Linked DNA regions of Arabidopsis thaliana. Each later gene encodes a partner of the first gene's protein in a complex. Each region holds a gene or a part of one and is shown in the gene's direction. Other genes may lie near its edges.

Evidence for each region.
Region 2: AT3G09180 (region 1) and AT5G19480 share a complex: the UniProt entries of both Arabidopsis thaliana proteins name them as parts of the mediator complex.
Region 3: AT3G09180 (region 1) and MED31 share a complex: the UniProt entries of both Arabidopsis thaliana proteins name them as parts of the mediator complex.
Region 4: AT3G09180 (region 1) and AT3G10820 share a complex: the UniProt entries of both Arabidopsis thaliana proteins name them as parts of the mediator complex.

What each region holds. Positions count from the first base shown.
Region 1 is NC_003074.8:2,815,364-2,822,857, forward strand, and holds AT3G09180 (mediator of RNA polymerase II transcription subunit), read left to right. Parts: upstream 1-3,730; 5' UTR 3,731-3,914; coding exon 3,915-4,188; intron 4,189-4,282; coding exon 4,283-4,448; intron 4,449-4,620; coding exon 4,621-5,071; intron 5,072-5,161; coding exon 5,162-5,221; intron 5,222-5,304; coding exon 5,305-5,373; intron 5,374-5,466; coding exon 5,467-5,510; coding exon of another isoform or gene 5,511-5,529; exon of another isoform or gene 5,530-5,588; coding exon 5,589-5,733; 3' UTR 5,734-6,062; downstream 6,063-7,494. Other genes in the region: AT3G09190 (Concanavalin A-like lectin family protein), read right to left, coding at 6,287-7,324. UniProt on the Arabidopsis thaliana protein: Component of the Mediator complex, a coactivator involved in the regulated transcription of nearly all RNA polymerase II-dependent genes.
Region 2 is NC_003076.8:6,568,134-6,575,366, forward strand, and holds AT5G19480 (mediator of RNA polymerase II transcription subunit), read left to right. Parts: upstream 1-3,367; 5' UTR 3,368-3,694; coding exon 3,695-3,722; intron 3,723-3,810; coding exon 3,811-4,103; intron 4,104-4,251; coding exon 4,252-4,455; intron 4,456-4,564; coding exon 4,565-4,624; intron 4,625-4,757; coding exon 4,758-4,796; 3' UTR 4,797-5,490; downstream 5,491-7,233. Other genes in the region: NUDT24 (nudix hydrolase homolog 24), read left to right, coding at 1-54, 149-363; AT5G19473 (RPM1-interacting protein 4 (RIN4) family protein), read left to right, coding at 1,288-1,641, 2,497-2,547; AT5G19485 (transferases/nucleotidyltransferase), read right to left, coding at 5,774-5,839, 5,933-6,049, 6,138-6,242, 6,321-6,413, 6,500-6,751, 6,840-6,927, 7,002-7,051, 7,161-7,219. UniProt on the Arabidopsis thaliana protein: Component of the Mediator complex, a coactivator involved in the regulated transcription of nearly all RNA polymerase II-dependent genes.
Region 3 is NC_003076.8:6,729,496-6,736,614, reverse strand, and holds MED31 (SOH1 family protein), read left to right. Parts: upstream 1-3,624; 5' UTR 3,625-3,793; coding exon 3,794-3,843; intron 3,844-3,922; coding exon 3,923-4,020; intron 4,021-4,144; coding exon 4,145-4,241; intron 4,242-4,335; coding exon 4,336-4,414; intron 4,415-4,479; coding exon 4,480-4,569; intron 4,570-4,747; coding exon 4,748-5,001; intron 5,002-5,118; coding exon 5,119-5,131; 3' UTR 5,132-5,379; downstream 5,380-7,119. Other genes in the region: AT5G19920 (Transducin/WD40 repeat-like superfamily protein), read left to right, coding at 108-837, 919-1,075, 1,356-1,400, 1,774-1,939, 2,221-2,591, 2,675-2,993; AT5G19900 (PRLI-interacting factor), read left to right, coding at 6,570-7,119. UniProt on the Arabidopsis thaliana protein: Component of the Mediator complex, a coactivator involved in the regulated transcription of nearly all RNA polymerase II-dependent genes.
Region 4 is NC_003074.8:3,385,660-3,394,456, forward strand, and holds AT3G10820 (Transcription elongation factor (TFIIS) family protein), read left to right. Parts: upstream 1-1,540; 5' UTR 1,541-1,698; coding exon 1,699-2,067; intron 2,068-2,178; coding exon 2,179-2,247; intron 2,248-2,360; coding exon 2,361-2,443; intron 2,444-2,740; coding exon 2,741-2,793; intron 2,794-2,871; coding exon 2,872-2,993; intron 2,994-3,105; coding exon 3,106-3,133; intron 3,134-3,217; coding exon 3,218-3,501; intron 3,502-3,585; coding exon 3,586-3,667; intron 3,668-3,751; coding exon 3,752-3,845; coding exon of another isoform or gene 3,846-3,846; exon of another isoform or gene 3,847-3,969; coding exon 3,970-4,003; exon of another isoform or gene 4,004-4,249; coding exon 4,250-4,317; intron 4,318-4,493; exon of another isoform or gene 4,494-4,577; coding exon 4,578-5,034; 3' UTR 5,035-5,344; downstream 5,345-8,797. Other genes in the region: AT3G10840 (alpha/beta-Hydrolases superfamily protein), read right to left, coding at 5,548-5,777, 5,894-6,017, 6,114-6,212, 6,320-6,617, 6,703-7,153, 7,424-7,622; AT3G10845 (RNA-binding (RRM/RBD/RNP motifs) family protein), read left to right, coding at 8,350-8,383, 8,469-8,542, 8,617-8,688, 8,773-8,797. UniProt on the Arabidopsis thaliana protein: Component of the Mediator complex, a coactivator involved in the regulated transcription of nearly all RNA polymerase II-dependent genes.

The sequences.
Region 1 (7,494 bases):
GTTAGTCCCAACGAAAAATTCGGCTCCACAATGTCTACTTCATCATCCAATTTCTCAGTTGGTGAAACATACTGCAAGGCATATAAACATGTACATAGTTCAGCGGAGCAACAACATATAACGTTACATTTACATAAATGGGAACTCTTACTGTTTTGGGTTCATGCACGGCCTCTTTGTTTTCAAGCTGCCAATAACCAATAGCGAAAGTAAGTGGGTTTGCTGCAACATAAAGTATGTATATTGTAACTCAAAACCAGAAATAAATATAATTACCTTTGTGCTCGCCACATGCTCCATATCTTTCGCTCGCTTCAGTGGCCTATTAGATTGTGCATCCATTTGAGAACAAGATTTTTTCTTTCCTCCTTTCTGAATAGAATCTTCTTCTCTTACCTAAGAGGCATCAAAAATATATGTCATTCTTACCGAATACACACAAATGCGTCATAATCTTCACTGTATTCTCACCTCCATTCTAGTGTTAGGGTTGCTGCGTTCTGGAACAGACACTCCAACGTTTATGCCGCACGCAGCCGGCAAGTTGTCACTTCCTTCACTTAACCCAATATTAGGTTCAACCTGTTGGGAAACTCCATGCTTATTTCCTGGCTGGTCAGCTCTTATTTGGTCCTGATGCATCAACAGAAAATTGTTGTTTAATGTGAAGCTGTCCATATACATCAAATAGCACCTACTAGTGCAATACTTGAAGTCTCAACAAGCAAATTGAGGTGCTTAACCTGTTTAGAGTGGGCATCAGCAACACATTTGCTGCATTCTCCAACAATTCCAGCCTGTCTATTTAGCCCACTCACAGCTTCCCTAACCGATTCAGTAAGTATTGCAACCAATTCTTTCTTCTGCTTAACCAGTTCAGCCTCAAAGTATGACTTCAATTCATCGTTGTTTGATTGTTGAATCTTGAGAACACGTTTCTCAAACTCATCAGCTACCTCTTTGATGACTGCCTCTCTAAGACCATGTCCAGCAGAGCCACTATCATTGTTTTCCATCTCGCCAGCTCTTGGGACTTCCTGCTGCAACCCTTCTCCATCCGCAAAACTGACACCATCTTTATCTGTCACCGGTCCATCCTTATTCGCCTCACCATCCAATCCGTCTACACCTTCTCCGGCTGCACACTCTTCCCTCTCTTCTGCAGCAACACCAGAACCATCAACATCCATCTCATCGTCACCATCCCCCTTAGCCTGATTCACACAGTCATCAGCCATGAACTCATCTTCAGATGGATGTTCAACATCATTAGCATCAACACCACCACTCCAACTGTTATGCTCGAATGGGTGTTCCTCCATTATCAATGATAGCAGATGCGAAACTTCTTCATCATCCTCCTCATCTGAGAAAGATAAGTCGATCTCTTTCGCCAGGAGCTCTTCATTCAGCAGTGAGGTTACCCGGTCCTAAAAGTTAAGAGTCAATAGAATAGATAAGTCAAGTACACAATCTTTCTACACCAAATACAAAGAACAAGCTTTACAACAATAGAATTACCATGCCACTTTGGTCGATAGTTCGTGCATCATGCACATTGATGTTCAAACTCAGCCCCAATACATACTGAACCAGCTTCTCGACTGGAATGGTTGGGTCTAGAATGTTAAACACCGAGTCTGCCGTGTATATAATAGCTGGACAACATGCCACTGTCACAAGAACTAAGGCATGAGGAAACCCTTGTATAGCTGTGGTATCTTGTGCAAGCTCCTTGGCTGTTCTTTGCTTGGCGCTTCGAATAGTCGCGAGAAACGAAGTTCTACCCCAAGGATATTTAAGAAAGGATTCTACATCTTTTACCATCTCTACATGGTCAGGATCGATGATAGTTCGCGAACATGTCGGGCAAAGAATCCCATCAACTAGTAGCAGCAACGATAGGCGAAATCGAGTCAACGGGTCTTTGTATTTCTTCCCCATAGATAGCTTCCCAACAATCCATTGTGAAGTAGGCTTTCTCTCTTTCCCAAATAATGCCTTGTAGAACCTCGTAGGATTCTGAACCGCTTTCATTTTCCCTCTTGTCCTTGCATCCTTTTTGTTGAATCCAGATTTGCTGCAGTTAAGCCCGGTAACAAGTGCAAAATCATCAATGGCAAATCGAATTGGCTTCCCTGCAAACACCCACCACATTTCATACTTCTTATCTGTCACCAACTGCCTAGATAGAATGTAATGTAAGAACATTACAGAAAACTGATGCGTCCCCATTTGCAACAGAAATCCAAACTGCGAACCCTCCAGCTGCTTCAAATGGTTTTGATCTAGAGCAGCCTTGATGATCTCAATCCACCTAAGAGTAAAGTAATTGTTTATCCTCTTTCGGCCCTCAGGTTCAGAACCTAGCCGAAACAAACGCTTTGGCAACTCTACATCCCCCATGGAACAGATACACTGAAATACAAATGTCCACGTATCACTTTTTTGATGCTGCTACTTACACAAATACAAAATATATAAATCTTAGATGTAAATATATGTTATTAACAGACTCAACCAATATAGCCTCAGCTTTCCGTTACTATCAACAACAACAAATGGATTACATAGAAGTTGAGTTAAATATTAAACCTTCATAACACCAATTAGTGGAATATCGGATTAACCAGCAAAGATTCACTAACTAAAGCTACTCAAATCCGAGTTTATGCTATTCAATACTGCAAATAAAACTAAAAATGTCATTAACACATACAACCAATTTGAGTAGCTTCCGTTACTATCAACAAACACAAATGGATTACATTGAAGTAGAGTTAAATCCTAAACCTTCATAACAATTACAAATGAATATCGTATTAACCAAGCAGATTCCCTACCTAAAGCTACTCAAATCCGAGTTTATGCTATTCAAGCTCTTCAACACAAATTAAAAAGATTTTCCCAAAAGCCAAAAAATGGCATTTCATACCTTAATTTGGCTGAATCCCTTCGCCGACACCAATTGCCACAGAAATTCGAGTGTTACAGTGGAGACGACGGAGATATAAACACCTCTACTCCCGTACAACAAAACTCACTCAAGTACTCTCAACGGAATCAAAAACCCTCGATTGAGAAAAGAGCCAACATAAGTGTTGTACGAAACTCGGATGCTTAGATAGGCTCCTCCTCCAATTGCAGAAGATTTATGCAGTCCGATTGCCAGAAATCGAAGCCTCCACAGTCCCCAAATCGAAACCCACAAATTCAATCTTCGTAAACTCTAGAATCGTCACTCGGATTGCACACGCAGTCTGCTCTTCGAAACTTTCCCGGGTGTCGCTTTTTAAAGCCCAGAATTTTCAGATTTTCTTACTGTAACTTCTCTGAATGTTCACCTCTATTTGAATTTTTACAGAGTAATACATAGAAGTTATCGATTGAAAACTCAGAAGAAGAAGAATAAGCGCGTGTGCTCACGCACGGGTTAAGTTTGTCAATATTGCATAAAGTTCAATACATATTGGTTGAAGTGTTAGTTTTGCAATTATAATTTTTTTGTTGGCTATATTTGCAAATTTCCCATTTTTTTACATGTACAAACTAAAAAAAAAAAAATATTAAAGTGAACAAACTGTACATATGGGCTAAAAACTAAAAGTCCCACAAACATTGAGATTACAAAATACATTTTCAGTCCAACATGAGCCATAAAGCATTGCTTAATGGAGTAAAACTCAATTTAACAGAGTGGAATAAATTAAACAAAATAAGACGTGAAGGAGCAGAAGCAAGCATATCAACAAAAACGCCTTTGAAACGCAAACGCTACAAAATTGCGTCTGGCGTTACAGTAGATTGAGATTTGAACGTGAAATTCTCCGAGTCCAGAAACATTCCTCTCCTTCCGTCGTCGTCAAGAAGATCAATTTCATTGAAATCGAAAGAGTGTGCTTGAATCACAGCTTATGCAGACGCTACACCAGTCCCAACTTCTCCAGAATCCGGCCGAGGCGGCGAACAATCAGTCTGAATCGGACGCGCCGCCGAAACAGGTGGCTCAGGCCATGGAACGACTCAATCAAGCGGCTAGGGTTATCGCCGATATCCGCCTCGGCGCTGACCGTATCCTTGAAGCTATGTTCGTGGCTTCGCAACCTCGTCACACAGACATGCCTCTTCAGCTCTTTCTCAGAGAAGACGCCTCCATGCGTCAACATCTTCAGGATCTTCGCTTAATAGGTGCTGAACCAAAACTGAATCATTTTCATTAGTATTGATTGATTCTCTAGATTAGGGCTTTTAAGGATCGATCAATGTTTATTGCTTGGTTCAGGGAAGAAATTGGAAGAATCTGGAGTGTTAACTGAATCACTTAGGTCAAGAAGTAACTCTTGGGGTCTTCACATGCCTTTGGTTTGTCCAGATGGTGCAGTCGTTGCTTATGCTTGGAAAAGACAGCTTGCTGGCCAAGCTGGTGCTTCTGCTGTTGATAGAACCAGGTATCAGATTCGTTGCTAATCATTTTAAAGCATACTTAGGGTTTAGGTTCGAGTCTGCATATTAGGGCTGTTAGTGAAGCTTGGTGGTACCAACTTGGAGTTTCATCAGCTAACCAATTCTACTGAATCTCATGCATTCTCCATTTTCTCGCGTTGTGTATAATGACTGTAGGTTAGCTCTCAAGGCCTTCACGGATCAGAAAAGACGATTCTTCCCTCATATTGATGATGGATTAAAGATGGAACCAAGCTCAAAAAAACATCGTGCCTCCCATTTGCTATTAGAAAATGGAAGAGAGGAGCCGGTTGATTACAAAACATTGCCAGATATACAATCGCGTTTAGAGAAGCTGGTTCCGAGTGTGAAGGTGTCTACTTATGGACGATTGAACTGGCTTAAAAGAGCTAACTCTTTACCTGGGTCAGGTAGTGATGATCCTACAGAAGCATCGAAACCTATTTTCCAGAGTTCTAGCAAGCTGAGATCAGGGTTACAGACTGAAGTTGTCGACAAGATTGCTGTTATTGAGTTATCATTTCCTTCTCTATTCAGAGCTATAGTCTCGTTGAGTCCAGCGGGTTCTGTTGATCCAGATGCAGTTGCTTTCTTCTCCCCAGATGAGGTCACTTCCAACCTCCTTGCATTAAAATATACTGATTCTCATGTGAAATTGTTTAAGTTCTCATGTTTTAGCTTCATCCCTTTCTTACAGGGAGGCAGCTACTTACATGCGAGAGGCTTCTCGGTTTATCATGTTTACAAACACATAACGGTAATAAAGATGCGATTGATATTATATATAGTTTAACAAATTTGATTCATTGGGGACTTGCATTAATTAGATTTTTCTTGCAGGAACATGCTGCTACAGCCTTGCAATATTTCCTCGGCTTTGGTACTGGAACAGCTCTCTACTCTCTTCTGGTAAAGCATTTTACAAGCACACTTCAGTCTCTGGATAACATGAACCTTTTTTGTCTGGAAGTTAATTAACACCTTTCTCTTCTTCTTATGCAGCTATGGATATGCAGTTTTGAATCCGTATTTAGCAAACCTTGCACGTATGCAGACTCTCCGTAATTCTTCTAATACATTTGTTTCCCGTGGACTAACTTTTCATTTCTCTTCTGATGATGCAGTAAATGTGGAAGGCTATTAGCAATGGATAAAAAGTCTGCGTTAATCTTACCTCCTTTACACCGCGCTTACCAAGAATTGCCTCTTGCATTAAACCTGGACGTTTGTGAAGCTTACCACTCCAGTTGCTCTCAAGATGATACCTAGTACTCTAGTGATTAGGGAGGATCAATTAAAAGAAAGGTTAGAAATAAGTTCTAATAACATTTTGTATGGATCTTTAGTATCTGCTCTTCTCCTTGATATACCTCTTGTTTGTTGTTGATGTCCCATGTTGAGGTTTAGATTAACTTTCTTTCTTTCTACTCTCTGGTAACATGTGAATGTTGTCTTCTTTCTAGAGATTTGATCTTTGTTCACGAGATGACTGAACAGAGACCTTTTTTTTTAACTCGGTTCACATTACTCTGTTGCAGTCAGCATCAAAGTGAGAAAAAGACAGTGGGTGTTGATTTTTGCTTCCGATCCAGAAATATAAAACATGTTAAATGCAAGATCAATAAATTAAGTTATTTTGCAAGATCAAATAAGCTTACGGCTTCTTTCATAGAGATTGTACATGTGAAACCTGCAACTAACGAAGCAAATAAAAGAAAACACTAAATAAAGATAACACCAGAGGAAGTGGAAGAAGGTACTACATTTACACTACAACAAGACAACCTTCTTAAACCAAAGCCAAAGCCAAACAAACTTCTCATTACTTCTTGCCATCTTTAACTGCAACGACCACAATGCTCACTGCACATTCCTCTGGAACCACGGCCATTGACCGCCTAACACTGCAAATAGTCCAAAGATACATAGCTGACATTGCCCCTACGGCTCCACATACTGCAGCCAAGACCAGAGCACCAAGCATTCTCCATATACACTCACTATTTTCTCGGCCCTCTTCCATTTCCGTGGAAACGTCCGGCTTCAAACCTTCATTTGGTCCTAATGGCGCTGGTTGCACCCATATCGGATCAAGATGCCATATTTCAAAGCTCCATGAATGGAGAAAATGTGGCTTGGAAGAGTTCCCATTAGCAGAGCTTAAACCCACCATGACTTCACCACCTTTCCAAAGCTTCTCCAAGTCTACCGAGAAAGAGAAGAACGGATCAAACATCTTTATCGAACCACGTTTTCTGAAACGAACCCTCATTCTCTTAGAACTTGCCTCATAATCAATCATACAGCTCAAAATCCCTCCATCATCCATCATCAAGTCACCCACAAACGAAAGGTTTCTAATTTTGGCAGACTCAGGTCTACCAATTAAGACTCTTGCACGGTTTCCTCTCTTGGAGATATCAAACTCAAAAGCAACAACTGTCTCGTTCTTTGCATACTCTAATAGAAACCCTAAAGCAGAGGAACTGTAATCTTTCTTACCAAACAGACTAAGATCCAAAGTACTTGGAACCATTACAAAAGCCAAGACATCACCAATCTCATTGGGCATCGAAAACGAGAAGTAAGTCGAGAAAATAACGGAGTTCCTCTCTTTACCTTGGAATAGATTGATGGGTTTCTTGTAAAAGACTCGTCCCTCGGTCCGATTCACTGAGTCAGTCAGCTGAATCGAAGAACTGTCATTGACCAGCTTCGAATCTCCAAACAGAGCAACACTCTTGTCAAAACTCTGAGATTTTACGAATTCATCAAATGAAAACGTGAAATCCACACCTGCGGTTCCATGTATCTCAAAGCATAAAAGGACCAGAAAAGATAGGGTTTTGAATATCGCCATAGCTATACTGAGACTAAAATTGGTTCTCTCTGATTTAATGACTACAGAGACGAGCTCTTCTCTCTCTCTTACTCACTCACTCACTCTTCTCCTTCTAAAAATGGAATTTCTAGGATTTGAGAATGACTTCCATTTTTTCAAGAAGTATTTAAGTTTGTTGTTTTGTGTGG
Region 2 (7,233 bases), on another chromosome or scaffold:
TGCTGTTTTGTTATGATTTGGAACTCCCTCAAGATTTTGTTCCCACAAATCAAGGTTAGGCAATAACTAGTAAAGCAATCAGTAATCTTGCTCAGATAGACAGGTAGATATACTTTGTCATAGCATAGTAATCTTAATTACATTGCAGATGGAGAAGTTGACAGCTTCAGGTTGATTCCAGTCGCTCAAGTTGCTAATGTGGTTCGGAAGACTAGTTTTTTTAAGGACAGTTGTTCCCTGGTCATTATTGACTTCTTGTTTCGGCACGGGTACTCACTCTTTTCTCCCAAAATTTCTACCTCAGAAGAAACATGTTACTTACCATTATATATTGCGGGACTTTTATGCTCTCGCCGCGGATAGTAACATCCTTATGAGCAATCTCCAATTCCCTTTGGCAATACATTCTGTTCCATTTTGTCTATGCAGGTTAATCAGACCAGAGTCACCGGGTTACTTGGATCTATACCGACGCCTGAGGAATGGAGATTGCTCATAAGGACGTTACTTTCTATCTAATGTTTTAAAGAAAAAGCTCACTCTCTAATAAATTAATATTAGATACTCTGACTATGTAATAAGACTCATGCATGTATATAATATTCAGAGTCTTCATGTGCCTTCATGAACATATATATACCAATCAAGGAAGTTATAAAACTTCATTTATACAAATGAGCAAAACAAGTTCACAATTTAATTGTTCTCTTCAAACAGAGTTATTGATTTTTAGCATCAGAAAGCTAATCCAATTGTGTGAAGCAAACACTAATTATTTTCATCGTTATCCATTCGAATTCTTGTAACGATATGATGAAAGTACACTAAGATTGACATTTCAACCTCAACAACTTTCTACTTGCTTAGAAGTCTTCATGACCCCTAACAGCCTTTTCCAATAGGATGCCAAAAGTTAGTATTAAAAAATCCCCCGGACATAAAGGAACACCATTGCTTGAGATCCTCCAAGTTTAGAAACCTCCTAAATCTGCTCCTATGAAATCGTGATTTCAAACAATTTGTACTATAAAGGAAAAAGTGGAATTTTACAAGAGAGATCGTTCTCCTCCTCGTCATGAACACCTTCATCAATGTTTAAGAACATCTTTCTTCTAAACCAAGCAATATCTATTTATGGATAAAAGAAGGGAGGCATGCTCTCTAATTTTTTTATAAAATCTTGTTTCTTTTCTTTTATCCAACTATTACTAAATCATCGATCTTTATGATGTCTGAGTTACAATCGAGACATGTTGAGCTTTCATCGGTTAATGCGCGTTTTATAGAATGGGGAAAATTAACCGATGCAATCTCAACATCGATCTCATTGTTCTTTTTTTTTTTTCCGGAAATATTTGGTTCCCTAAGCAAATTATATGTTTATCTAACGAGTTTTATTCTTGGATACAGAATGCTGCATGGACTCCAGTTCCACAGTTCGGAGGGTGGGACCAAAAAGGACCAAATGATGCTACAAACTACTCGGTTGTCTTTTCTAAAGCTCGCGCAAACAGGAAGCAGAACAAAGCTGGTGTAAGACATTCTAGTTTGGGAAGCGAACAAGAACTCATGGTAAGTGTTCGTCGCAACCACCAACAACTTCACCATCGCCATGAAACTCAAGACGATGACCCTGTCATGGTAATTAAATTATCTCTCTCTACTTACTCTTCCATGGATTCTTTGGTTCATATTCACCTTGTGATGATCCTTTTCCCCTTAGTCAACGCGCATGGATCATCACAAGGTGGTATAACAATTCAGGAATTGATTTTCTCTTTGCGTCTTTTGTTTGTTTTGTGTTTTTGCATGCGCCTAAAAAGAATATTTCATTCCATTTCTTTCTTAACTCAGAGACATAATTGAACCATGAATGTTATTCAACTTAATTATGAGTTAATACATGCATCATAGTATCAGGTCTCATTTATGAATATGTAATGATAGTGTATCTTTAAATTTGATGTTATAGTGTATTGGCTTGCAGTTTGTTTCCATGGTTTTGAAATGATGTGTTTTGTTCGAACAATGAATTTATAGTTCGTTTCCATTTTCCCATTTTCTACTTTCTTTTTATTTGTTAGGAAAACTTTGTTTTTTTTTTTGCATTTTTTCCATAACATTTCAATAAGCAACCATATTTTAACATTATATTCCCACCTAAGCTAAATTTCATTACTTCTATTGTTAGATAAAAATATAATTAAACCAACTAAAAGTCTGAATCATATTATAATCTTTGCATTATGTTTTAACTATATGTTGGGAGTTACATAAATTTGTTTTGCTTGGAGCCTCCAAACTTTGAAGAGGCAAACATGAACGAAATGTACACTGCTTTTCTAGAGCGAATATGAAAACTCCATCTCTAGTTTGTATAACAGTCGAAATCACCTTGTTATACGAAGCATTATGCAATATGTGAAATGTATTAAGAGGAAGCATGTTGTCACCGTCATAAGTCTCTCTAACATTACTAATTTAATTACCATGCAGAAGAAGAAGAGGATCTTGACCTACATTAATTGTTGTATAAGGCCAAACTAGGGCTTTGTTCTTCTACAAAGTCGGAATCTTTCTCTCTTCAGCGATATAGCAAATATGTCTCAAGTGTGTAAAGACAGTAGTGTAACGTTTCTGTAATCTTCTTTATCACACACAAAAAAAAAAAACGTTCTGTTCTATGTGCATCATCTATTAAGATACCCCTGGTTGTGTTGTGTTGTGATACATTTTGACTTCTTCCTACATCATACGAGAACAAAATAAAACATGACTTAACCAAACCGTCAGATGCAGAATCCATTTAACTAATCTTCGATAAATTGAGAATTGTCGGATGATCATAGTTTTAGAAACAAGAGTTAAGAAATCATGCATTGATTGCTGGTACGATTTGGCCATTTGGGTGATTTTAGCTTTGGTTAATCATTCTCCAACTTCAATATAAAGGATCCGAACAATAGCAATGACTAAACGAATCACTTTTTGGCCTTAGCAAATTGGTCTTAATTATTTGGCCACAAATACACATACATATGACCATATGAAAAACAGTGGCTATCTTGCAACTGAGTGCCACCACCTAATCGTGGCCATATCCACTAACAAGTTGACCACCGTCTTAATCGGTGGCTATTGACGATTGCAACAAAAATTATTTGACGGCTATATTAGCATTTTTTTTTTTTTTTAACTATGTGATTAAAAATGCAAATTATAAGAAAATTGAAATTTTTATTAAAATAAAAATACAAATGTAAAAAAAGTCGTTGTGAAATCTGTAAAGTTGATCATACGCACTATGAAGCGCGTGAACCCCACGCGGTAACCCGTATAAATAACAAAATTTTGGACGAAAAAAAAACAGAAGAAGAAGAAAAAGAAATCGCGATTTTATAACGCCATTGTTTGAGGAAACTCCTAATCCATTCTCAAACCCTAGTTACTTCCTTCTCGAACGTTCCTCGATATTCCCGCGGGAAATTCACGACCAAGAGCAATCCGTTTTCCAGATTAGGGTTTATATCTCTGGGTTGCGATGAGATCTGCCTCGTGAAGTCATGTATGGCGGTGATTGATCTTTGCTTCAGCTTTGTTTTCGCTTTTCGTCAAATCTTGAGCTTATTGAGCTTTGGCTTGTTTGGTTTTCAAATTCCAATAATTGCAGTTTAATCAACAACAACAAAAAAATATGGAATCAGAGAGCGTTAAGTTTGGAGGTAAATTTGGTTTCCAAGCTTTGATTTTTGTCAAGTTTTATTATTTTGGGATTTGAGGGTCAATGAGCTTCTGGGTTTCTAAGTGCAGGTCCTAGAGAATTGGGTGGTGCACTAGATCTTATAACACAATACAAGTTGTTGCCACACCATGAATTCTTTTGCAAGAGATCACTTCCAGAGTCACTGTCAGATGCTCATTATCTTCATAATTTGGTTGGAGACACAGAGATTAGAAAAGGAGAAGGAATGCAATTAGATCAGCTTATTCCTAATGCATCACTTAGTAGCCGAGATACGAATGCTCGCATCCAACCTTTTGTTCTTGATGAACTTAAGGAGGCTTTTGAGCTTAATGATACAGCTCCTGTTGAATTGCCTCCAGTAAGAATATTGCTCTCTCTGTTTAGATTTTAACTTCCTGTAACATCTAGATCTTTTACTAACCATGATAAGTTGAATTACTTCCAAGTATCTTGTGATGATAGTTGAGCTAGGTTTGAGAATATGAGATCTCCTGTTCTTATTTCAGGCAGAGAAGGGAGCTCCTACCACTGTATCAAAATCAAAAAGTGAGTCAAAAGATAAGGATAGGAAACATAGAAAACATAAAGACAAGAAGGAGAAAGATAGGGAACATAAGAAGCACAAGCACAAGCATAAAGATAGGATCAAAGATAAGGATAAAGACAAGGATCGAGACAAAAAGAAGGAAAAAAGTGGACACCATGATAAGGTTATAAAACTGTCTGCTCTTGTTGGTACCTAGGCCGTCTATATATGTATATTTTGGATTCTTAAATTCGATAGAATTGACGTGGTATACGCTATCACTTTACTTTCAGAAAAGGAAGAACAATGGGACTGAAGATGCTGATGACGTTCAGAGGCACAAAAAGAGTAAGGTAATATACTAATGGCAATGGAGGCATCTCCTTCTTTTTAGTGAAGCTGAATTTAGAAGTTTCTGGTTACTCGCACATTGGTGTTGCTCTGCAAATTTTATTTTTGTCGGCCCTAAAATTAACTTTTTTGCAGCATAAGAGCTCAAAGCTTGATGAGATGGGAGCGATGTAGGTTGGAGGCTGAAGCCGTGCACACTTTCATTTTTGTATTGCACACCCAAGGTGTCATGGAGAGGCTTAGAAGCAGCTAACTTTGTTAGGTAACTCGGTCACTAGAGTCATCTTCTCATCTTTAGATAACGCACGTTTCTCATATGGGGCTGCGTCTGTCATAACCAACGGTACTGTACATGATGAATATGATTGAGTCAACAAAGCTATGGTTGTTTTAAACATGAAGAAATAATTATTGTCTAAGGCTTATAAGAAGATAACCTGGAACTCTAGCGACCGAGAGTGCACTAACTTTATTTTGGAGTCTCAAATAATTAGAAATGTTTCTATATGGTGTAGATTTGTCTCAACATAACATAAAATGATTTGGATTTGGTTTTGCAGGTTTAATCTCTAAATAAAAATTGCATTGTGGGAGAAGTTAGGAGGGGTTAAGCAACGAAAAGTTCGCCAAGAAGAATCACAACTTGTACATTTTGTTACACTTTAAACAAGCTATGAAGTTTATCTATTCTCGTGACTATTTAAACAGAAAGGTTTCATACATTCGAAATCATTTACTCTGAAATTTATCGAATCTGAAGGCATGTGACTTTTTGGGTGTATTCGTCTCTATGGAAATACCAAAAACAAAATTTAGATCTTTCAGGAAAGTGTTTTATCTCGAACAAAAGAGTAAATAATGAGAAGAACAAAAAAAGACATATGTAATATAACCAACGGAACAGAGAGAAGGGTCAGTGGCTGACAAAGTGTTTCAAGACTTCATGTATATGTAATGAATAGCAAAAGATCAAACTCTATCAGTAAAAGATACTAACGGAAAATCTCAAACTCTTAATCAACAAAACCCTTAGTGGGAAACTTTCCAATCCTTCACACTCTTCTCTCCTACCAAACGAATGACTAAGTAATGCTGCTTTTCATTTTAAAAAAGCGTTCCAAGATGTGACCTCATTTGCTTATCCTTCCTTTTCATTTTCTAGCAAAGGTCTCTCCTTTGTGCTCACTCCCGGCACAAACAACATACCCTGCTTCCACCTATAAAACCAATTGATGTTTTGATTATGGAATCTGTAAAAGCATTGATACGTAGGGGACACTGTATTATGAAAACTGAAGGGGGTAACGTACTTGGCAGTCTCTTAGAGTAACACGCTCTTGAAGCTGTGCGTTGCTGCAAATGACTGAGCCTTGTATTGAACATCCGTCTCCAATTGTGGCATGGTCCATCACAACTGAATTAACAATCTGCACCCACATATACAAGCAGTTGAGTGTCTTTTCGAGATGTACACCACCTTTCTTTGGCTGGCTTGAGTAAAAAGCTAATTATTACCTTCACATTGGAGCCTATCCGGCAATGTCTCCCAATTACAGATCTTTTGACACTGCATTTATCACCGACTTGAGAGCCTTCTCCAAGCATACAATGAGGTCCAACCTGCAACCCAAAAATTGTTATTCACGATCACAACTCACAGAACAAATGCTCAATATCTACACATGTAGAGTTACGTACTGTGGTTTTCGATCCAAGCTCAGCTGATGGGTGGACAATGTTGTGATGAGCAGAAAAGGAGTATCCAGATAGGTGGTTTGATTCACCAATAACCTGCACAAGTTTGAACAATTGCGGAGCTTCATAAGTCAACTGAGAAAAAAATACTGGAGAAGGAATCCCATGTGTAAACAACTTACATCTCTGTTTACGTCCATGAAGGCTTGAATGCTATTCAAGCGGACGAAATACTTACTTTCATCCGCTATATAAACACAGCATTTATGGGTTTTCCGGGTACCCAGACCTGATTCATAGACTTGATGAAAGCTTGGCATGGATGCGTTGGAGAGAATTTGAGACAAGACCACCTCGTTGTTCTGCATATTATTTTTTCCATTTCCATTCCCATTTTCTTCTACATTACTTTGGTCAGAGAAGACATCTGATCTCTGATACTCAAGGGGAAACCGCACAAATAAGGAATCAAAATGGTAATAAAAAAAAAATGGTCATTTGCAAGGACCGTATCCGACTAACCAGCTGTGTACGAACAAGATACGGTAGTACATCCTGTTTTAGGCTCCTAAAAGCAGGTTTTTGATCCAAAACTTCCTGCAGAACTGCTCTGTAAGACAAAAGAACATATTGAGTATCGACAGATAAAACTACTTTGATAGCAGGAAAGCAGATCTGACCAACCTCTTGAAGGCATATATATGAGAATCCATCAGATCTGATCGAATTTCCATCTAAATCGAAAATGACAAGATAATTAGAAACTGTACTAAGAATTTGTAATATATGAATCATAAAAAGATGCATTTGTAGGTAATTTCAAAAACTTAATAAGAACATTACCTTGCCAGCCGCACAGAGAATGCTCTTTTTTACTCGGGTATCTTTCTTAATCTCAGTACCTAACACAATTTCA
Region 3 (7,119 bases), on another chromosome or scaffold:
TTTCCAGCTTTTTGTTTTCTCATGTTCTGCGTATATCTTCCCTTGGAATGTGCAAGCGAGAGTCTTACTGTTTGGTCTTCTTCTTAAAACTTCTGATGTATCTGCAGCTTGCTGAAGAGAGAAAACTGATGGCAGATGCGGAGGCTAAATTTTTACAAATTGATCGTGTTGGAAATGGTATCTTTTCTAAGTCAAAACCAAAAGCGCCTGGTAAAACTGGAAGTATACTTGGTATAGCAGAGTTCTGGAACGAGGGAAATAAGACGAAGACTGCCAATGAAAACTCTACTCCACAATCACCTAGTGAGATGGAATCCTTGAAATTGCCATCCATTATCTTACCGCCTTCTTTTAAACGAAGAGCTTCTGCTACCGTCAGAGCTGAAGTAAATGAGACCACCCAAGCTCAACCCATGGCTACAAGGGATTATAACATTCCAAGGGAAGACACATGTGGCCCCGAGGCCAAGAGACCTCGTAGTATTCCTGATGAAGTGGTAAGGGAAACCCAAGATCGAGATAAGGAAACTCAACCCATGGCTACGAGGGGTTATGATGTTCCAAAAGAAGATAAAAGTGGCCCTGAGGCCAGGAGATTGCGGAGTATTCCTGATGAAGTGGTGAGGGAATCCCAAGGTCGAGATAACGCAGCTCAGCCCATGGCTACAAGGGATTCTAATGTCCCAAAGGAAGACAAAAGTGGTCTTGACAAGAGATCTCGTAGTATTCCTAATGAAGTTGCTCAAGCTCCAGATAACCACACTAATAAGGATTTGGCAAAGCCAAGGATCAGAGTTTCTTCTAACATTTCTCAACAAGGACAACAGGAAAAATCTGGTAAAAGCCATTCATTTGGTCGATTTGCCACATCTTACCTTCTCATTGCTCTGAATCTATTGTTTCTTTTGTTCTTTACAGAATTCCGAGGACATGATGAGTTGATAGCACTTATAGGTAGAAGCTCTTTGCGTCCCACAATTGAAGGCCGTACTGCCGGCATGCTACCAAGTTGCCACACGAAAAGAATGAGAAGTCTTGCTCTTTCTCCTTCCAACCGTGAGCTATTTGCTACAAGGTGCTTTTTTACATTATTTATGTTTTTCTCTTTTCCAAAAGTGAATAGAAGATGCTACCTAAATTATTATCTGCCATTCTCCTGGATGAAATTCGGTCTCATAACTGTCGCTTGGGGCTTTGTCTGGATTTTTTACTAAGGAAATGATATTATATGCATAAGAGGGAATCATGGAACCAAGAAAGTCATTGGTCAATTAGCTAACCTAATATACTCTCGACTCATGTGCTTAATCTTTTTCTTTTCCCTCTCTTGATTTTGGTTTTTGGTTATGCTTCAGTGCATTGGATGGGGCTGTTCATTTCTGGAAGCTTCAGTCTGATAGGTAAGTCTCCTGTAAATATGCCTGATCTACTGATTATGATATTTCTTTCTGATTTCTTGGGGGTTTAAATGGTTTTAGGAGGGGTTATTGGATTATTCAACTTCAAATCCATATAGAATTCCTTGATTTTCATATGTATCAGAAATTTTAATTATGTATTTCTAGTTCCAGTTGACATCACCTTCATCCATCCACGTGATAAGTAGGCGAAATTTAGTTTCACTTATATTTGTCAACAAGCTGCAACGTTTAGTTGTACATGATCTTAAGAGATAGAGTTTTGTACAATTTTTTCTACTCTTATTTTCGTGAACATTTTAATCTGAATTTCGTTGGATACTAACCTATCCATCATGCTTTCACCATTGAGCAGGTCCACCGCTACTTTGTTTAAGACGGTTAATCGGGTAGCAGTAGATCAGAAGAAATGGGCAGAAGATATAGCTTGGCATCCACATAAGAATGCACTTTTCTCCGTGTATACTGCAGATGATGGTCACCCTCAGATATCAGCCATATATCTGAATGAAGCTGGAGAGGTAAAAGTATATGAATGCTGTAGCACATTCTAGCGTTTTACCATATTAAATTTGCGATTGGACATTCATGAGTGGAGTGTGTGCTTAAACTTGTAGAAAGTTAACTTGGTCTTCATAACCTGTTAGAAAGAAAAAAATCAATATAGCTGGAATAATTGGGAATTTGATTCGACCCTTGACTTATCTACTAGTTGTAAGATCTAACTTGATGGTTATAGTCTTTTATCCTTGGGGAAGTTAGTTATGTGCTCATTTCTTTTTGGATATCTGTTCATCTGCAGAGATGTGAGTCGCAATTTATGGAGGACAGGCCTCATAGCAAAGGTCTTATCAACAGAATCATGTTTACGCCTTGGGATGATCCTTGCTTCATCACAGGTGGGAGTGACCATGCAGTAGTGTTATGGCGGGATCAGTGTGAGAATAATGCGTGGAAGCCGACGCTTCTGCATAGGGACTTGCATTCGTCGGCTGTGATGGGAGTTACTGGAATGCGCCATAACAATCACGTCTTGTCATGTGGAGACGATAGGAGATTTGTTGGGTTTGATGCCCGAGAAGAAAAAGTCACATTTAAACATAGACTAGACAACAGATGCACAAATATAATGCCAAACCCGCGAGATGTTAATCTTGTCATGGTTAACACGAGGTAAAACTGACTCTTGATTTATATATATCCCAGAAGAAGCGATTGCCTTAAAGTCCGTTCTTTTGCTTGTGTTGTGTTTGCAGGCAGCTAGACCGGCAACTGCGGTTGTATGATGTTAGATTGCCTCAGACAGAACTATTTTCTTTTGGGTGGAAGCAAGAAAGCAGTGAATCGCAGTCGGCTCTAATTAATCAGTCTTGGTCTCCAGATGGTTTACACATCTCATCTGGTTCTGCAGACCCCGTGATCCACATCTTTGATATCCGATACAATGCACCGAGCCCGTCTCTCTCGATGAAAGCTCATAAGAAAAGAGTGTTCAAAGCCGAGTGGCACTCTTCTTATCCGCTGCTCGTCTCCATCTCATCAGATTTAGCAATTGGGATTCACAAGCTATGGTGAAAACTTGTAAAGCCATCACCTGAATTTGAAGGCCATTAACTTCTGAAACAGAACTTGTCTTGGCAAGTTGGCACAAGGTGTTGATTGGCAAGTAAGAACTGAGTACAGCACGCAGGCTGGATACGAAAACTGTCTTGGGAGTTGCATAGGTCAGTCCAGGGTCTGATGGCTCTTGTCTTTTGATTTTTTTTTTTAACTGTGGGAAACTCTAGCTTTTTAGCTGTCACATTTTGCGGGGATTACAACATTACAATGTACAGTATACATTTTTGAGGGCCAACTCATTGGAGCCAAATGTCCTCAGATTTTCTGTCTGCTATAATCCTCAACCATAGTTAGCATGACAAAGAGTTGCAACATCTATATCGATTGGTCACAAAAAAACTTTTGTATGATTGCATAAAGATTCCGGTCCATGTTTCAAAATTCAAGATTTGTCCTTGTGATTCATAATCTTGAGATAAGTAAGAAAGAGATTCATAACATGACTAAAAATGCCACCAAGTGAATCTTTGAATGTAAAGTAACTCCAAGTTTGGGCAGAGACTTCTCCATCTGCTACCGAGTATAACGGTTCTTTTAAGACCGCTTCTTGTGGAAAAAAAAAAAAAAAGACCGCTTCTTAAACCGTAATTTTGTACTAATTTTCCAATCTCTTTTTCTATTTGCATTCAGAACCGGTTTAGGCCTTTGGTTTATAACCAAAATTCAATTCAGAAATCAGAACCAAAATCCTCCGTCTACCTCCGTCTGATTCCTCTATTGGGAGAATCCAAATTTGCTTCAGGTTCCGTTCGTTCATGGCTTCGCCAGAGGAGATGGGTGATGATGCATCAGAAATTCCATCCCCGTGAGTGCATCTTCTTCCTCTTGTACACTTTCATATTCTTCAAATCTGCTCTTTTATTATCTAATTCGCATCTCTACAGGCCAAAAAACACTTACAAGGATCCCGACGGTGGAAGGCAACGATTCTTACTGGAACTTGAATTTATTCAATGTCTCGCCAATCCTACTTACATCCACTGTAAGTTTAGAATTCGTTCTATGGCTTAGGGTTTTAGTGTTCGAAATTGAGATTTAAAAAGGGATTTGTTCTAAGGCTTAGGGTTTGTACTTACCACATTCTGCTTTTGGTTACTGTTTGGCAGACCTGGCACAGAATCGGTATTTTGAAGATGAAGCATTTATTGGATACTTGAAGTATCTTCAATACTGGCAGCGACCAGAGTACATCAAGTTCATTATGTAAGTTGGAATATCTTATGGAATTGGTGTAGTCTTGTAGAGTCTTGTGAAGGTTTGGATAATATATCTTTGGTTTCCTATGTTCTTGTTACAGGTACCCACACTGCCTATATTTCCTTGAACTTCTTCAAAACCCCAACTTCAGGACTGCTATGGCTCATCCTGCAAACAAGGTACAAGAATACGATATGAATCATCAAGTGAAATCAGCATGTTAGTGAGCATTGTGAATAGGGAGTGGTTCAAAATGTTAGGGTACTGGTGTTTTTGGAATGTGTTTTGGGGACTTGTAGAGTTTAGGGTCTCTCTAGTACAAAACCTTGCTTACGTTCTGCTAGTTTGGTTCTGTGATTCTGCGTTTATGCCCATCTATTCATGAGATAGAGAAAGTTGTTTAATATTCTAAACTTTATGTCCTTTGTCAGAATTTCTTATAGGAAATCTATTGTTGTTGAAGTTTTCTTAAGTTTTGAACTTTGTCTTCGGTTGAATCTGGATTTTTCCAGGAATTGGCGCATAGACAACAGTTTTACTATTGGAAGAACTACAGAAACAACAGACTGAAGCACATTCTACCTCGGCCTCTTCCAGAGCCTGTACCTCCACAACCACCAGTTGCACCTTCAACTTCTTTGCCACCTGCACCATCTGCAACTGCTGCTCTCTCTCCAGCCCTTTCTCCAATGCAGTACAATAATATGCTTTCTAAGAATGACACTAGGAATATGGGTGCTACTGGAATTGATCGTAGGAAGAGAAAGTATGTGCTCCTTTCTTCTTCTTGATAATGATGACCATTTTGTGTGTGTTTTTAAGATGACTGCAAATGTGTTACGAAAAAAAGCAACACTCTAATATGTGAGTCATATAATGTCAGGAAGGGTATATAAGCATTTCCTGCCCTGAAGCATACACCATGGCGTCAGTCGTCAGATATGGTTTCCTCCATGTCCTAGGAGGGAAGCCTACTTGACTCAGGTTACAAAAATGTTGGAAACTCGGTATTACTCATTCCGTGTCATAGGCCGTTTATGGAAGTTGTCATATATGGTGTTCAATCTTTGTCTATGATATACAACAACCCCCAATCAGTATCAGTCTTTATCTTTGTTCCTATCGATCTTGACAATTGCAACACTTTATTTTTTTTGAGAAGCTTAGAAGCAATAGGAAAAATTATGGGAATGCCAAACATTTGTCCTTGGCAGAGATTGCTTCTGCCGGTAAAACATTAATTAGGAGTGGGGTTTCCATGTTGCACTTGTTGGTGGAAATTGTACGAAATGACTCTTTGACGTATCTTTGACAACAGTTAGAAGACCCAAACATGACAGAGTGTGCTATGGACCATGGTATACGAAACTTGATATGTGATGAAACTCGTATAACGTAACTCACGGTTCAAGAAAGGAGAAGAAAATAGCATAACTCAAGGATATGAATAAAAGAAGAACATGAACACTTATGGATTAGAAATGACTTTGATACCTTAAAATGTTGAGATTCTTCTCCATTGAATGATTAATTATAGGGAGGTTTGTTAATATAGTCCAAATTTTGGGGCTAATGTGTGATTGCAATCAAAACCAAATTTTGGAAATAGTCCACTTTTCTCTAAAATTATAATTAAAATACCATCATCAAGAGAAAAAAAGAGGCAAAAAACATAGTTACCTAAAGTAGAACGTCCAAATATGAATTTTGATATTAAAGTTAAATTAACTTTAGCAGAAAAAGGTTGAATAATATTTTGCCAAATTATCAAGTGATTAGGTTTATGATTTAAAATATTTCTAACTAATAATAATAATAATATCAAAGAAAACCGTAACCGACTCTACCCTTTAAATATAAACATAATCTCAGCCGTCGGTTTAAACGTGTCGCATCTCCATCGTTGATTAGGACTTGGCATCTTTTCGTCGCCTCTATTTAAAGAATCTCATCATCTCTTCTGCCGTTCGTACACAGAGGTTCTCTTTGCCTTTAATTTATTTTTCTTCTGCCCAAACCAAAAAAAAAAAGTTTCCAGATCCAAAATTACAACAAAGATTCTCAAACTCCTAAAACTTCATCTTAAAAACTTAACAAACAAAATTCTAATTACGAAAAATCCCAATCCTAGTGTTTCTCTTGTTGGCTTTTTTGTTTGATCTGTCTGTAATTTTTTTTTTGTTTGATCTGTGGTTTGTTTTGTAAAAATTCCACTCGTCAGCACTCAGATTAATCTCTTGTCCATTGATCTATCTATCGACTTGCTTCGACTTTTGATTTGAGATTTGCGAAAATTAGGGTTTTTGTTTCGAAATTAGTGTTTGTGTCACCTAGATGAACGATCAATCTAAGCTGATGAATCCGCCACCTCCACAGCAGATGATTGGTCAGCCTCCACCGCAACAGAGGATGAATCCGCCGCCGCCGTCACAGGTACCACGGATTATGAACCAGAGTCCGTTATTAGGCCAATCTCATCCGATTATGGGAATGAATCAGCAGCCACCACAGGTTATGATGAACAGCAATCAGCCAATGATGATGAATCCACGCAACTTTAACCTTAACCAGAGTTTGAGTTCCGAGTATCAGCAGAATCTTGCTCCTAATAACTTTGGTTCGAAAATGAGTCGGAACAATTGGAAAGGGAAGAAGATTACAAGTGACAAGAGGCCAATGATGGAGCAGCAGCAGCAGCAAATTAGGAGGATGCATAACTCTGGGATTCCTATGTATAACCCTCAGCAACTTCCTGGTTCTGGTAGTATTCAGGTTGGTGCTGGTGGTTACAAGCCGCCGACTTTGAATGAGCTGCAGTCTCAGAATAGGTTAAAGACGAGGAAGTTTTATCCGAAGAAGAAGTATGGTAACCGATATGTTCCTT
Region 4 (8,797 bases), 570 kb from region 1:
CCTTTTAGAAAAAAGATTAAAATAACTCATCGTTTGTAACTCTACTGGTGACTAAGTAACATAAATTCCGGACGGAACAAGGCTTCAAGATCACAAGCCAACGAATTTCAAAGTTGGAAAATGAACTAAATTCGAAGAGATATTATGAGTTAAAAGTCCGAAACTGTTTTGTTATATTAATTTAAAATAGGTTTTACAATTTTAGATATATAAGCCCTAAACAACTTTCACAAATCCAAAATGGATACACTAGAAGCACAATTTGAAAGATACATAAAACACTGAACCCTTACAAACACATGACAAGAAATCGATTAAAAGGCCTTTAGATTCAAATCAAACGCAAATGACGTAGAAACAAATAGTCAAATACAAGTAGTGTTTAAGCTCCATAGCTTAATCTTTGACCCCGTGATCTTGCTTTTGCATAGTAGCTATTTTTGTAGAACCAAAATTATGCAGAAATTTTTACACTGAACCAAAACAAAAATATGCAGAAACAAGATCATGCATGGGTTTTAACATTAAACCAAAAAAAGATCATGAATGAGTCAAAGATTAAGCTATGGAGCATAAACGATAACATGTGATCGGTGGAAACAAAACGAATCATGCAAGTATGGCTTACCGGAGTTAAAATGGATTGATCCGACAAACTTGTGAATCTCCAAGTGCTGAAAGAATATTTAAAATAGAAGAAAAGGAAACTTTTGGAAGAAGAGAAGTCTTTAACGCAACTGAAAATAGAGTCGAGGATGATATCGACGACGAAACTTCAAAAGACAGCTTCAACAACGGGAACATGTGGCTGAAGCTTAACAAAAGAGTCAAAGCACGAAACTAACGAGAAATTTAATGAAAAAAATACAAAAATAATAATTTAATACTAGTACTAATTAAAAAATAGTGCTAAACATCTGTGGGACTATGAACAATGCTTTTTAAAACGACATAATTGCGACACCAAAAACGCGTTTATTTAGATTACCTTTCAAGTAATTCACGTGATAAATGTAATTATCCATAACTTTGAAAAATGAGTACCCCATTGTTGGTATCAGGACATGTGTAATGTGTTAATAATTTACTATTACAGTATGCTCTGAATGTAATGTTGATAACATAACTTTAAAAAAACGAATATCCCATCTTTATACTAGCTAGGCCATGTGACGTGTTTTTCATCAAGGGTCATTATGTCATATAGGACGACACATGTATAGTCTAGTTATTACTAATTTACTATTAACTAAATAATCATTCAGTTAATCATAAGCCTATATCTTTAGAATTAATATATATATTGACAAATTCAATATTTTACTTAAATAAAACAGATGAGTTATCAAGATAAATGATCAAAACTATTACCATTTTTTTTTATAACCTAAGTTTTTTAATGTCGACATAAATTTCTGGCTTTTTAAAATTCTAGGGTCTTCTTCTCTTGCCCTCTTTTAATTGGCTCAAGCTCTGTTTCTTTAAGTTTTCTCGGGAAAGTTCTTGTGGACTTTCTGCAGAAACTTTTGTCAGATTCTCAGGCGAATTTTATTTCCTGCAGAGAAACTTAAAAAAAAAAAAAACTACACAACTAGTACTATATTGATTCGTATTCAAAAACCTAAATTCAAATTTAATTAGGGTTTTGCAGATCGAGGAATTCGGATTCCGGAATCGATTTTCCCTCGCCGTTTCGTGATGGCGAAGATGAGACCATCTGTTTCGTTGGATACTTGGAGAGAGTATTTCCGGCGAGGAGATTCTGATATTTTTGGTATCATTGATCATGCGATTATGGTAGCTGCTGCAGATTGGCCAAAGGAGTTTAAATCCAGGAGTGATAGAATTGCTGAGCTTCTCTTCTCTTGTAAAGTGAGTCGCTGCATTGGTTGTGACCACCTTGAGCTCTCGATAGCTGGAGACGAAGCGGCGGTGGAGATAGTTGGAGTTGGCGGCGGCGGTGATAGGGGTGATTCTGGTGTTGCGACGGGTGAAGGTGAAGAGGCGTCTGTGAGTGTTGATGAGGTTATGAGGATCAGAGATATCTTGTCGAACAAAGACGATGAGGTTTTTAGTCTCTTTGCTTGGATTACATTAAAACTTGTGCTAATTCATTGGTTAAATTTGGAATCTTTGTGTTGATTGTTGAGTTTTTGGTTTCTGTCATCTTTTTTGCAGAAAGATTCTGTGTTACTCGAATCTCTGAGAAAGCTTGAGTCAATGTCTATGAGTGTGGACATTCTTAAGGTTTGTTTTTTTGGTGTTGTTTTGATATTGTATGATTTGGTGTAGTGGAAGTTGCTTATTCTGATGGAGCTTTTCGAGGCTGTGGAGTGATTTAAGTGTTTACGTTCTTGCAGGATACTGAAATTGGAAAGGCTGTTAATGGTCTGAGGAGACATAGTTCCGATAAGATTAGCAAACTTGCAAAGACTCTTTTCGCGTATGAGTTTCATCATTCTCATTGTGTGCTTAGTTTCATTTGTTCTCATACTCTCGCATCTGTGATGTGAATTAAACTTTGGCAAAATGTTCCAAAAAAATTGAACCTCCACGGTTTGATTTAGATGCAAACCAGTTGCCTTGTAGGATGTCTCAAATTGTAAAATGTCATTATAAAAGCCTTGGTTGATCATTAGGGAGCTGCTCTTGTGTTAGCTCAATACTTAGAACATTTTACTCTTCCTTACTTTCTGGCTCCCGAGTATAAAGATTGTGTTTTTATATATGGGATGCACAGAGAGTGGAAGAGGCTGGTGGACCAGTGGATGAACACCCCAGAGGAAATGGCTGGTAAATAGCTCTCTCCTCCTGTTCCGTAGTCAGTGCGAGCAGGTTTTGGTCTAGATTTATAGTAATTGGGTCTTGCAGGCACTGAAGGGACGCCAGAGTCTCTAAACCTTTCAGTAATTGATGAAGAAGAAGCCTTTCCTTCTCCTCCACATGATTTAGATATCTATGCACCTGAACCTAATGGGTTTGAACTTTCTCAGGTCTATTAACATTTTTCCCTCTCATCATATTTTATTTCTGGCATAGACGAAATGTTATCCTGACAAGTTTCCTCCCTCGTCCTTGTTTCATAATGTCTTGGGTCACTTGAAGATCTTAGATTGTTTGGACTGCGATGGAAGTGAGTTAGTATACTCTTTGGTACTCTGTTCTCTACTTGAAAGTTTTCCTATATTTTGACACTCATGGTGGCCACTGTTTTCAGATCCTCGTCACAGTGTGGAGTCCAAACATGAAAGAAAATCGCAAAGTAGTGCGGGGAGGAGACCCAAGGGAACAAATGATGCAAATGTGGTTGGGAGGTACTGCAATGATCAACAGACGAGGAGAGAAGAAGCTGATGTTAGACCTATGAAGCACTCAGCCACAGATGTTGTCGAGCCTAAAAGACAAACAAAGCAAAGTAGAGAACAAATGGTATCCGCAATCCAACGAAAACCAACTGCTGTTACTGAGCAAAAGCGGAAACTTGCTGGACCTCAACAAGATGTGAGTGTTTGAGTTAATAAAGCCGTGGTGTTTGATTATTAATCTGTTTTGTTTCTAATAGCAAGTGTTCTTGTCTTTGTTCAGAAACTCAAAGCTCTGGATCCAGACTCAAAGTTTGAGTTTGCAAAGCGGAAACTCCAAGAGAGCTACCACCAACATGAGAATGGTTAGTCAAATCGTCTTAAGAGATTTCAATATTTCCACTATTACAATACACCTAATTCTTAATGACCCATTTGTTTTTGAACAGCTAAGAGACAGAGGACGATACAAGTACTGGAAACTATCCCAAAGCAAAATAAAGTTCAGAAACCGCAACTCAAGAGACCCGCCACACGAAGATAGTCCATTTTTTCCTTCGGATGATCTATACAATTACTACGACCATTCAGAGGCGTTAATATACAACAAAAGTGCATTGACAGATCCAACATAAACTTCTTAGGATGCTCTATTCTTTTGTCCCAGTATTTATTGGTACTTCTGGTCCAGTGAATTCCCGGTTTGGTCCGGTTTTGTGACAATAGAACCTCATAATTGTGACAAGGGAAAATCCCTTTTTCACTTTCTTCATGTTTCATTATGAAAATAAAAAAGAAAATTATTAGGACAAAAGGGCTTCTCGTATTTGACCATCCCTAAACCTAACTTGCGAGGCAAGCAAACTTTTTAAATCTGTTTATACAAAGATTTTGTAATTTTTAATATCACTTATGAGGTGAAATATAACAGAGTGATAAATTCCTAGGGTTACGAGTTACCTTCCCTCATCCTCAATCTCGCGAATCCTCGTGATAGTTCCTCCCAATTCTCAAGGTACCTACTTCAATTTTCCTTGTTGTAAATTTTGTTTTCCTAGTGCTAGTTATCGATAAACCTGATGGGTTAAACGTTGAGCTGTTAAGAATTCTGGCCTAGATTTTGTACGTCGGGGATACAACCGAAAGTCTTTGATTGGAAATCGAAAAGCCCTAATTTTGTGGCCTTTATTGATAAACATAAGTGAGAGCATAGGTTTGGTAAAACAATGGTCTCTGTTTGCATTGCATAGAATTGAAATTTAGCTGCATATGTAGACATGATGAGTTGATGATTGATATTCCTGTATATTTTGGACTCGTACTTGTGCAGATAGATAAAGCAGAGATGGTGGATGAGATGATGATTTTCAAGAAGATGAGTGTCCTTCTAACTGAAAAGGATTTTGTTGATGCCATCGTATCTGTTTCTCTCAAGGACCTTACGAGATCACTCTTTGTCAGGTTCGAGGCCAAGGCTTGCCCTAAGTTTGACCTTATCCATAAGACTTCCGTCGAGACGGTTAGGTGCGTAGGGAAAACCTTTATGCATATGCTCTCTAAGGTTTCTAGAGAGTTTCCTCCCCGCAATCGAACTCATCCCGGTGGCCTCCTCTATCAGCGATTTGATCCTACTCACTTGTCTCTTGCTCGCCAACAAGTTGCTATATGCAAGGAAACTGATTCACAGTATCCGCATGAGATTGTGATTCACTGGACAAGTGCAAGCGCCTGAAAGTGGATGCTCTTGGTTACATGTTTACTATTGCAATGAGATGCGCCCCTAGTTTGGCTTATCTCGAAAAGTTCAGGCAGTACATGGCTCAGGCGAATGAGAAGAATCTGGAAGATGAGACTGCTGCTACTCTGACGAACAAGAAGCATGTCGCCCTCTTGGCTGAGGAAGACTGCACAGTCCTTTGCACCCCTCGCTTTGAGTTTCAAAATGTTGCCGACTTTGTTCTTCCAGAAACTTTGCGTTGGCTTGACGAGTTGGAGCTTCAAGCCAGCTTCAAGCTCCAAGCTAATCAACTGGACTCTGCAAAACTTGCCCGCACTCGCAAGAAGCACCACATGGTGTATTATTCTCGCTTATATATCAATCTGTTGAAGAATCAATGTCTCTCGGTTATTTTATTCTATATCTATCTAGTCTTTGATATTGTCGACATTTGTTTCTTCAGGTCCAATAACATGAAGAATCTCTCTAAAATTTAGTCTTGATTGAGCTAAAATATATAGTTATACTTCATGATACAATGCCTTGGAACTTCAAGTCCACGTCTTGTTGTTGTGACCCTCCAAAAGCATTCCCTAGAAACTTTGCAACAATAGATATGAATTCATCTGGTTTTTCCTCTTGAGGAAGATGACCACATTTCTTAATTACTTCGAACACTGATCCCGGTATGGCTCGTGCCAGCCTCTCTGCGTTCCATGCTGGCACAATACGGTCCGTATCTCCCGTCACAATCAGAACTATTAGAAACATGAAGATAGTATGATGTCATTGGTTCAGAGTTCAGACATACAATGCACAATATTTGGTTCCAATTTCTAATTCATTGTCAGAATCTTATAGAAAGAGATATTACCAGGGCATTTGATTTCTTGAAGCCTTTTAGACAATGGGAGTTTTTTCTCTGAGCCATTATTATCTGTTAGTGTAGCCACCGTGAATTCCACGAGAGCTTTGTCCCATCCCTTGGCTTTAAGAGGCTGTTTTTTTTGCAACAAATACAATCAAATTTCCTAAATTTTTAACATAACAATGCAGAAGAAATAAAGAAACCTGAGAAAACCCGAAAATCTCACCTTTGTATAACCCTGCACGACATGATCCGTCACTTGTTTTGAGTCATACCACGCGTTCCTAACAGCTGTTACTCCAAATTTATTGATTGCCATCCTCACCTGGTGAAAAAAACAACCACCTTAGAAACACATCAAGTGTTCTGGTCTAACAACATATAAAAAATGACATGACTGGTGAATGAAGCCAAGACAAAAAAAAGCGGTACCAGCATTACTCCAAGGAAGGATCTGAGGAAAGCTGCTAAAGCTTTCTTGTAGAGAGAACTCAGCATATTCGCCATTCCCGTTACCACTCTCAATACTGCTCTTATAACACCTTTGGTTAACTCAACTAGAGTCCCTAGAAAGTTGCTAGTGGGAGCTTCTTTGTCACGGTTCTCTCCAGCATCAGTTGTGGCCACAGGACGGGGAGCGAATATAGCTGGAGCGACGAGAATGAGAGCAGCAACACGCTCCGGGGCTTCAAAGTAAGCATCTAAAGCTACAGGGCAACCAGCAGAATGCCTACAACATATGAATTAACAATCTCAGCTTATGGTGGCACTTTAATAAGAAATGCAAAGTATATGGAACCTACTAGCTTACTTACCCCACAAGAATCGCCTTATCGGCAGCAAGAACATCGATGAAATACAACGTAGTGAGCACGGAATACACCATGGAGTAGGGATTCAATGGTTTTGCATCATTGGTAGCACCACTAAACGGGTGAAAAATCCGAGAAGTCAAACCAAATGCTGGTCTATCAAAGGCAAGAACTTTTGAACTAACGAGACGAGCTAATGGCTTCATAACTCTGTTCCAGGAGAACACAGAAGCGCCGAAACCGTGCAATAGAATCATCGGAAACTTGGTTTTTGGTGTTTCTTGAGCATGAGGGCTTGTGTTTGAAACATCATCAGAGAGTGTATGTGGATCTAACACTTTGTGGTGTATATGAACACCTTGAAACTCACAGAAACAACTGTCTGGATCAGCTAGGTTCATTGGATCCTGTTCTGTTTCAGCTTCCATCTCCTCTTTACTATGTGCTCCAGCATCTAAATATTCATGAAACAAGAAGATTACTCATATAAAATTAGATCTTTATGGGAGAAAAAGGAACAATTTGTGATACACAGAGAGATTACTCAAATCTAATTTCATCCAATTGGAACTATAAGCTCAAATGTTCCACAATTAGCAGAATACTAAATCTCATAGGTGAGTCAAGAAACCTCAATATGGTAGTTACCTAACACGAACAGAAAGATTCATCAATTGAAATCTGAATTCTAAGTAGAAAGAAAGGAACAATTTTTGTAAGAAACCTGGGAAGCCACCAGAGAGAGAAGGAGAAGAAGCAGCATTGGAGACGATGAGACGGCGAGAGGGTTGGCCGGAAATCTGACGAGACATCTGAAAATGGGTTCTAGAGGAATCTGAACTAAACTTGTCGCTGAGAGATAATGTTGAGAGAGTCTGCTTTGGTTGGTTCAAAAAGAAGATGCATGTGGTGTTTAAATTCATTGTTGCTTCCTACTAATCAGACAGAAGAATAACATCAACTACACAAAAGTTCTGACATTTTTGTTCTGTTTTTTCTAAATTAAACGGCAAGGTTAGATGATTCAACAGTGTTTTGTCTTTGTTTGTAAAACAAATTAAAAAAAAAAATGGTGATGAATTCCTGACTTCTCATTCTCAGTTCTCACCTACACAATCTATTGGACAAAAACTAAAGATCATTGGATGAACAAGAGGACCTAAACGTAAAAAGCCCACTCCATTCGTTGCCACTTGGCTTCTCAGTATTATGGGCCGCCAAGATTAAACTATTCCATGTTTTGGTATTACAATTTGAAAGTTTTATTTTTTTTACTGCTTATTACCAAACCGGTTCACAGTTTCACACATAATATCAACATGACTGGTTCATACACCTTTTACAGGATCACTTAACACAACACACACACACACACACACACTTGATCCCAGACTTGAATTGAATCTTGCTTGGTTGTGGAAAAAAGCCCAGGACTAGCCCAAACCAGATTATTTTGTTGTTATGAAACCAGATTGGTTGGTGGCAATAAAAGCCCAGGCCTAGCCCAAACCAGATTATTGTTGTTATGAATACCTTACCTTCTTTCTTTCTTTTTTGTCAAGTATCTTACCTTCTTTCTAGGGTTGTTATTATAACTTTGAGTCAATTGCCTTGCCGGAAAACAAAATTGGCGCTGTTTTCACCGTCTCCATGGCCAGTTCTAGCAAGGAAGTTAATTTATGTGGTTTGTTTTCAGTGGCTCTGAGCTACTATCTACTTGGCTGTTGATTTTATTTCTTTTCTTTTCCATTGATCTGCTCTTCTTTTAGGTAAGAGAAATCCGGAAGATGATGATTTGGAGACCAAACCGTTTCTCAAGAAACATAAGGACGAGGAGAAGAAAGTAACGTCGGATCACTCCACTTTTTTTTTTTAATACATACACCACTTATGTATGTATGTATGTGAATGTAACAGGAGGAGACACCGGAAGGACTTGCTGATAGCCTCCAGCACAAGTCTGATCAAGCTAATTTAATCTCTCTCAAGGTTTAATATTGTAATAAGTTTTATTATGTTCAAATTAAGCATCTTGTTCTCCAAAATCTGTTCCAACGGCTACTCGCTTAACAGGAGGAGGAAAGTACTGTGGAAGGAC